Linked DNA regions of Lonchura striata. The protein of the gene in region 1 interacts with the protein of each later gene in a pairwise test. Links are inferred from orthologs where the notes say so. Each region holds a gene or a part of one and is shown in the gene's direction. Other genes may lie near its edges.

Region 1 (3,748 bases):
CCATTAATCTGCCCAGCAGCAAAACTGAAGGGCTGTGGCAAAGGGCCAGGTTCAGTTTGAAACATGTTTCCAGAGCAGTGAACACCCACCCATGTGCTCTGCTCAGCCTGCAGTGAGTGGCCATGCCCAGAGCCAGCCTGCAAGGTCACATCACAGCTGGACTGTGCCATTTCTTCCCTCCCAAGTGCACATCTCCAAGTGAAAATGCTGTGCATTCCTTGTGCCTGCATTAACATCTCAGCTGGAAATATCAGAAACCCCCCCGGTTTATTCCAACAACTCCCATTACACTGTGAGCCTTGGCTAATCCGAAATCCCAATCCTGAGTTCTAAACTCAGCTTCTGTACTGCCAAAGACTGTGCTAAAAACAATGCTCTTCTTAGGATGTTTTTAGCAAAACGTATCAGTTTTCTTCTTTGAGCTTTACTTGAGGTCCTGTGTTGTGCAGACAATGGGGTGCTCTGCAAACCCCACACTCTTCAAACCCCATGCCCAGCAGGGCACACGGGTAGCTCTTGCTTCCTCACACGCTGCCCAAATCTGTCTTCCCTGCAGGGTGAACAGGGCTGAATGAATGAATTCCTGAATTTCACTGGCAATTTATCAGCTCAATTATGTATTTCTGTTTAGACTCCTGCTTTAAATGAAGGATTAAGGTGCCTCTTTGAGTGTTTCTCAAGACTTATTTTCAAATACTACTCCATTTCCTTAAACACATTGGCATTAAACACATGTATTGCTATAAGAACAGCATTATCTTAAACCCATTCTCTTTATATTTTCTGTACAGTAACAGGATCTTAGTCCTCCCACATTTACTCTTTTAACTGAGTTGTTTCGAGCTGTGATACCTTTCTGAACTATTTCATAATGATTAATAAATTTACTGTTTCCACTCTCCCTTGCACACTGATGGATGCTGATTGTTCCTCACATAGTGCCATGAATAGATGCTTTTTGTAATAAAAATTCAGACTCCAAAAATCTAAATATTAGTTCCAAGAAAAAAATCAATAAGAACATTTCTAATTCAATTCCAAAATTTTAAAGGAAAAAAATACAGATAGAAAAGGAATAATGGTGAGATGAAGAGATGATTGTACATTTTTCAATGAAAAGAGAATTTTATTTAAGCCTCAATTTTAGAAAAAGTTGATTTTCTGAAGGTAGCCATGGTAAGCATTGTAAATAGGTAAGTGGGTGGGGCTGAACTCACTTTGTTTTTCCATTCTTAAATGTCAGAGAAGTAAACTCCAAGTTTCAGAACTATAGCCTGAAGAAAAAACATCATCTGATTCATGCCTTTTGTTTAATTAAAAAAAGAAACCCCAAGCCCAAGCCCCTGCGATGTGCTGCCAGCACTGCTTGTCAGGAATGTCATCATAGCTGGCCTCACCTCTAGGGAGGAGGAATTTTGGAGGGAGGGCTGCAGTGGGGTTTGTCTCCCAACGCCCGATCGTGAGCATATAAAAGAGGCACGAGGGCAGTGAAGGCACAGGCTGTCTTCTCTTGCCGGGCTGCATAACTGACCCTTGCTCCTGCTCTTGCTTCAGCCATGGCCACTTCCTTCATGAGCTCTTCCTCCACCTACGGGGGTGGCTTTGGGGGCGCCGGGGGCAGCAGCTCTCGCCTGTCCTCGGTGCGCGTCGGAGGCACCTGCCGGGCCCCGAGCATCCACGGCGGCTCTGGCGGCCGGGGTGTCTCCATCTCCTCAGCCAGGTACGTCTCCTCTTCAGGAGGAGGCTGCGGCTTTGGCGGGGGCTATGGAGGAGGTTTTGGAGGGGGAGCAGTCTGTGGCTTTGGAGGGGGCTCTGGCTTTGGAGGGGGCTCTGGCTTTGGTGGAGGATTTGACTTCAGTGGTGGCTTTGTTGGTGGCGATGGCCTCCTCTCTGGCAATGAGAAGATAACCATGCAGAACCTGAATGACCGGCTGGCTTCGTACCTGAACAAGGTACGAGCCCTGGAAGAGGCCAATTCAGAGTTAGAAGTGAAAATCCGAGACTGGTACCAGAAACAAGCTCCCACCAGCCCCGCCCGTGACTACAGCAATTACTACAAGATAATTGAAGAGCTCCGAGACAAGGTATGGCATTCATATGTAGAGGAGTTTTAAGAAGGCAAGAGAATTTTGGAACTGCATGTTCCATGTCTTTAAAATAATTACAAAAGAAGTAGTGAATTCCTCATCCCAAATACATCGAGGTCCAGAGCATTCTAGCAGAATGGAGTAGCCTCTTCTCAATTTAAACACAAATATCTTACCCTGACAATGTGATGTTTGTTGAAATTAAAATGATTGCAGTAAAAGTTAGCAAAATGTGTTTAGAATTATCAATATATTTATTCAGAAATCAAATAGTAAAGAATGTGACAGGTAGGCCTCAAAGACTGGAAAAATAATTCACCTGGCTACAGATAAGATCAGGTATAGTACAAACACATTTCCCATTTCCCTGTGGTTCTAATTTGTCTTGCATGGAGTATCACAGCTCTCTGGTTTGCTCATGGAATGTGGATCAGATATTTTACCATTATTCACAGGAATTTTTCTCTCTGTTTCTAATTGCCAGATCCTTGCTGCTACCATTGACAATTCCCGGGTCATTTTGGAGATTGACAATGCCAGGCTGGCTGCTGATGACTTTAGACTGAAGTAAGTTCACCTGAAGCTCATTTGTCTTCACTCTACTTGTCACTCTCTCTAAACAGTTTTTTCTTTAGTAACTTCAATACAAAACATCCTGGCAAGCAGAATCCATTGATGAAGGACCAATTCAGAGTATAAACCTGACAGAACACAGCATTCAGATCACTGAGCTGTTTGCAGGATCAGTTATAGCCTGTGTCTTCATTTTTTTGTGACACTCAAATATTTTTACTAGCCTGAATCACAGGGGAAAGAAGGCAGGAATAGGTGGGATTTTCACTTAGAAGGAACTGAGTGGGAGGAAGAGGTTGCTGTGGGGCTTCAGCATTTCTCTGCTGGAGTCTGAAATTTAGAGTCAGGTGGGGCTTTTGCAGCTCCCAGGCTCAGCAGCACATCAGATGATAAAGGTCCATGTGCAGCTGCCTTCCCGGCAGGAATGCACCTGCAGGTTTCTCTTTTCCCTCCTGTGTCCCCGGCAGCCCTGCCCCACCTGTGCTTTCCTACACAAATCTGGGATGACACTGCAAAACTCCTGTCCTGTGTGACAATGTTTCTATTGATGCTGATAATCAGTATTATGTTCTGCAAGGTGAAATGTCATGTCTCCCTCAAGAACAAAATCATATGGCTTTGTCTGTGCTTCCTTTATGCTGTATCTGGATATTGGAACAGCTTTATTGCTTTTACACTTCTAAATCTGTATCATCTACAGTCCACTGTTGCTCCCATATGTGATCATTTTATAGCTCTGTTGAATACAACCACAGAAACATTCCAGTGCTTGTTTCTTTTTTGAACTGCAGGTATGAGAATGAGCTGTTCCTGCGCCAGAACGTGGAGTCTGACATCAACGGCCTGCGCCGGGTCCTGGACGAGCTGACCCTGTCCAGAACTGACCTGGAGATGCAGATTGAGACACTGAAGGAGGAGCTGGCTTATCTGAAGAAGAACCACGAAGAGGTGAGAGTCCTGGCAGTGCATGGAGATCACTCCCCTTTGGATTTTAGCTCTTGCAAATGAAACATACATGTAAGTCACATGTAAATACGTGTGTCCTGTATGAGTACACAGAGATAGGGAAGCTGTTGTAATGAGAGAGA
Region 2 (3,748 bases), on another chromosome or scaffold:
TAGGACTCGTTCAAGTCAGTCAGTTAGAGAAAGTGCCTAAGGCCACAGATAAACATGTAGATATCCTCCACCGAGGCACAAAGGCAATTTTCCATGCCTAGGTTTCTCCTGCTCTATTTTCCAGGGGGTTAATATTCAAGGAAGGAGATAAACTGTTTTAAGCCCCATAGCGCAGCTGAACTTGAATTAAAATTGTGTCAAATTTCTGCAATTGCTTCTGTCTTGCCCCGTGCTACGTGCAAAACATTCTTTTCATCCCTGTCACGCATTCAACAGTGATAGTAACAAAACAACAATGAAAACACACCACTGATAAGCCAGGCTATGAAAGACTCTTGAACACCTAAGTGGAAAGGTCAGCACAAAAACAAACAAAGTACCCCAGAACTACCATTCCCAGAAAAACTCTTGGTCTGTGAGGACAGGGAGCTGCCTTGTCCACCCAAGCCGTGGATCCTTCTTTTAAGGCTTTACGAGCTGTGCCATTGCTGCCAGGAGGAGCCCGGCCGTGCCTCACAAGCACCTGCAGCTCCTGGCAGGAGCCTGGGGCATCCTTAAACTTCTCACCCCTTAACCGCGCCCGCCAAACGCATCTCCTCCCTTAAGGTACTCTCTTGTCACTCTTCCTCCCACTCCGAGTCGTAAGGGAAAAAAACAAACCAAACCAACCAAACAAACACAACTATCCGCACTGGCGGCGGACAGCGCGGGGTCACCGGCGTGGGGAACAGCCGGGCCAGCAGAGAAGGGAGCGGCCTCCCCTTCTCGATGCCCGGGGGACACCGGAGCCCCGCTCTCTCCCCACACTGAGTGCTTGCCCGCCTCCCGGACGGCAGCACAGCCCCGGGGCGCCCCGGCGCCGCTCCAGACGCGGGAGGTGCGCCCGGCGAGGCTGGGGACGTCACGCTACCGGGCACGGGGGCACCCCAGAACCCGGAGCTTCGTGGGCAGCGCTGCCTCGCAGCTGCCCCCGCCTCACCCGCAGGTTGGCCCTCAGCCCGGCGGCCTTGGCGATGCGCTGGAGCTCGGCGTATTTCAGCGCCTCCAGGGGCTGCAGCGAAGCGAGCGCCATGACAGCAGCTCCGACCGACCCGCCTGCCCGCCGCGCGCCAACCGACACCGCTCGCGCCGCCCCCGCCGTTCGAACTGGCCCGCTGCGCCAGCCCATTGGCTGGGCCGCCGAAGGGGCGTGGCCGAAGGGGGCGGAGCGAGGGAGCCGCCAATGGCGGCGCGGCCCGCCGCGCGTGCTTATTTTCAAGCGCGATGAGGCGTTCCCGGCAAAGAAAGTCGCGCGCGGTGCAGCCCGCTGCCCAATAGCCGCGGGCGGCGCGGATTGACGCTCCTTCTGTCCAATGGCAATACAGAGGTGCGCACCACGCTCCAATCACGATGCTTACGATGCTTGGGGGCGGGCCCCGCGCCCGAGCGCTTGGCGGGAGGAGATGGCGGTGCGGCAGCGGCTGCGACAGCTGTTCCAGGACCCGCAGACCGTCGGGGCCATTGTGCTGGAGCGGGCGCCCGCCCTTGCCTCTACCGCCTGCGTCTCGCTGTCGGCGCCCCGGACGCCGCCCCGGCCGCCGCCCCTGTCGCCGTCTTCCGTGCCGCCGGCCGAGGTGCCGGCGTCGCCGCCGCGGCAGCAGGGTCCGCTGCCGGAGGAGTGCGCCGTGTTCCACTGCCGCGGCTGCTGGACAGTGCTGGGAGACTCGCTGCAGCTGTGCGGGCAAGAGCCGCCGGGGCTTAGCGTCCTCATCTGCTTCAGTCAGTGCCTCCTCCGCGCCGGCTGGTGCTGAGGACGCGCCGCTGCCCCGCGCGGACCTCGGGGCGGGCAGCGGGGCTTGGTCCGGGGGCTCTCTGCTGCAGCGCGTCTCTCTTTCTCCTCAGGAGTCACCAATGATGTGACCTGGGAAGAGTCGCTGTTGGTCGGCCTCGAGGGAGCCCTCCTGGGATGGTGCGTAGCTCCCGTAGTTCCGGCAGCGGACCTGCCCGAGTGGCCGCCGCGGTGAATCGTGCGCACGAAGCCGGGAGCTCTCCGGCCTGTGCGCGGGGATGCTCAGGAGTTTGGCAAGTCACTGCCAGTGACTTCTGTGCCTGTTTCACACCTCGGATGGAGATACTTTTTGTAGGGATGTAGTTCTCACTTGAAATCGAGATTTTTGCTGCTATAACCTCTGTAGGTGGAGAGAAACATTCGAGCAATGCAGTAGAATACAGCTTAACTTGTAGGTCCCTTTCTTCTCTTCCCTCAAAGGTCTCTTGCTTAAAGCATCTCTGGGTTTTGTTTGGTTTGGTGGGTTTTTGGTTGCTTTGGTTTGGTTTTGCGGGGAGGGGTGGCTATTGGTTGGTCGGTTTTTCTTAATACTGAAAATAAAAAACTTGTGCTGCCCCATTCAGGAACCTATCTTTTGCAAGGTTTGGTAACTCAGTCTAACGGGAAGAATGTAAAATGTCATCTAGGGGCTTACAGAACCAGTAGCTTGTTTAAATGATTTTTAAAAGCTGTTTTATAAACTGTCAGAACTGGGAACTGCTTCAATATAAGACTTGCTCTTTTTTTGACTTTTTTCCTTGCCCCTCTCTCTGCATGGGGTAATGATATATTTTATTAGAATTTTCAACTGGTGCATCCATTATTTTATTATTTAAATTATGTTTGAGTAGAATATGTAAATCATTCTGTGATAATAAGATGTGCATTTTCTTCCTTAACAGCAACTTCACTTATTTGAGAGATTGCTTCTTTCACAACATGCCCAATTTCTTATGGTCATACTACTTTGTACATATTACTTTTCTGAAGAGGATGCGTTATTATGCCTTGGATTTTTTCCCAATGGAACTGAAGATTTTATGCTCTCTGACAAATATGCAATATCTGTGGTTTCAAAAGCTTCTGTTTAAAAACACTTCCCTTTCTCCTTTTAGTACTTATTATTTATTATTCTGTCGATCTTGTGGCTCGGCTGTGGGCTTCATTCTTTACTCTTCTGGCAGTGACCTGGTGTATCTCCGGGACTTGTTCTGTTTCTTCAAGGACAGCATCATGTGGTGAGTACACTGCATTCCATGGTCAGTGACTTCACAGGTAGTTTCAAGTCACTGTACAACTAGCCTACAGCTAACAAAAGTGGTTTAACTTCTGTCTGAGCACATTGGTGTGGGATATTAATATTCTTGATGACTAAATTGTGTTGATGTGAATCCCTTTGATTTCCTTGCACCTCTTGAGTGTCCTTGTGCAATGCAAGACTTCATACTTCGTTGTGTGCAATGCTGAAATCTCTTCAGTTCCAGATTCATTTAGCTAATGTAAGGTATCAAAGTGATTATTTGATTGGTTGAGAACTTGACTGCAGAAGCTGTAAATTACTGAGAGGATCTTGATTCCAAAGTAAAACCATTGCTGTATTTTGAATATTTTCATAATTATTACTTTTGGCAACAACCTTGTATCTGATTTAAAATAATTTTAAATCATCTGTCTAAATAGTGCAACTACAGGTTTTGTAACTGTGTTTTTTTTCCCTTTCCCGTTTTGTTTTCCAGTTATCTCTTAAAAAATCAAATGATTGTAGAAGCTTCTAAGGTCAATTTTCCAGCTGTGACCTTAAAGGAAAACATGCAGAAAGTAAGATTTCCACAATAATGGAAAATACTTTTAAAATACTGATAATTTTGGACATTAATTCAAAAACATTGATACAAATGTGGGGGTTTTAAGTGCTTAGGACTGAGAAACTGCTGCCTTATA

What was found.
Region 2: the proteins of keratin, type I cytoskeletal 19-like (region 1) and OIP5 interact in binary tests that used the Homo sapiens proteins (3 or more experiments, as listed by UniProt). The two-hybrid records come from large-scale screens. The link is inferred for Lonchura striata from reciprocal best matches to the Homo sapiens genes KRT15 and OIP5.

The regions. Positions count from the first base shown.
Region 1 is NC_134627.1:6,767,403-6,771,150, forward strand, and holds the start of keratin, type I cytoskeletal 19-like, read left to right. Parts: upstream 1-1,556; coding exon 1,557-2,084; intron 2,085-2,571; coding exon 2,572-2,654; intron 2,655-3,451; coding exon 3,452-3,608; intron 3,609-3,748.
Region 2 is NC_134608.1:37,494,857-37,498,604, forward strand, and holds the start of OIP5 (protein Mis18-beta), read left to right. Parts: upstream 1-1,409; 5' UTR 1,410-1,442; coding exon 1,443-1,758; intron 1,759-1,881; coding exon 1,882-1,948; intron 1,949-2,922; coding exon 2,923-3,045; intron 3,046-3,543; coding exon 3,544-3,625; intron 3,626-3,748. Other genes in the region: NUSAP1 (nucleolar and spindle-associated protein 1), read right to left, coding at 980-1,072. UniProt on the Homo sapiens protein: Required for recruitment of CENPA to centromeres and normal chromosome segregation during mitosis.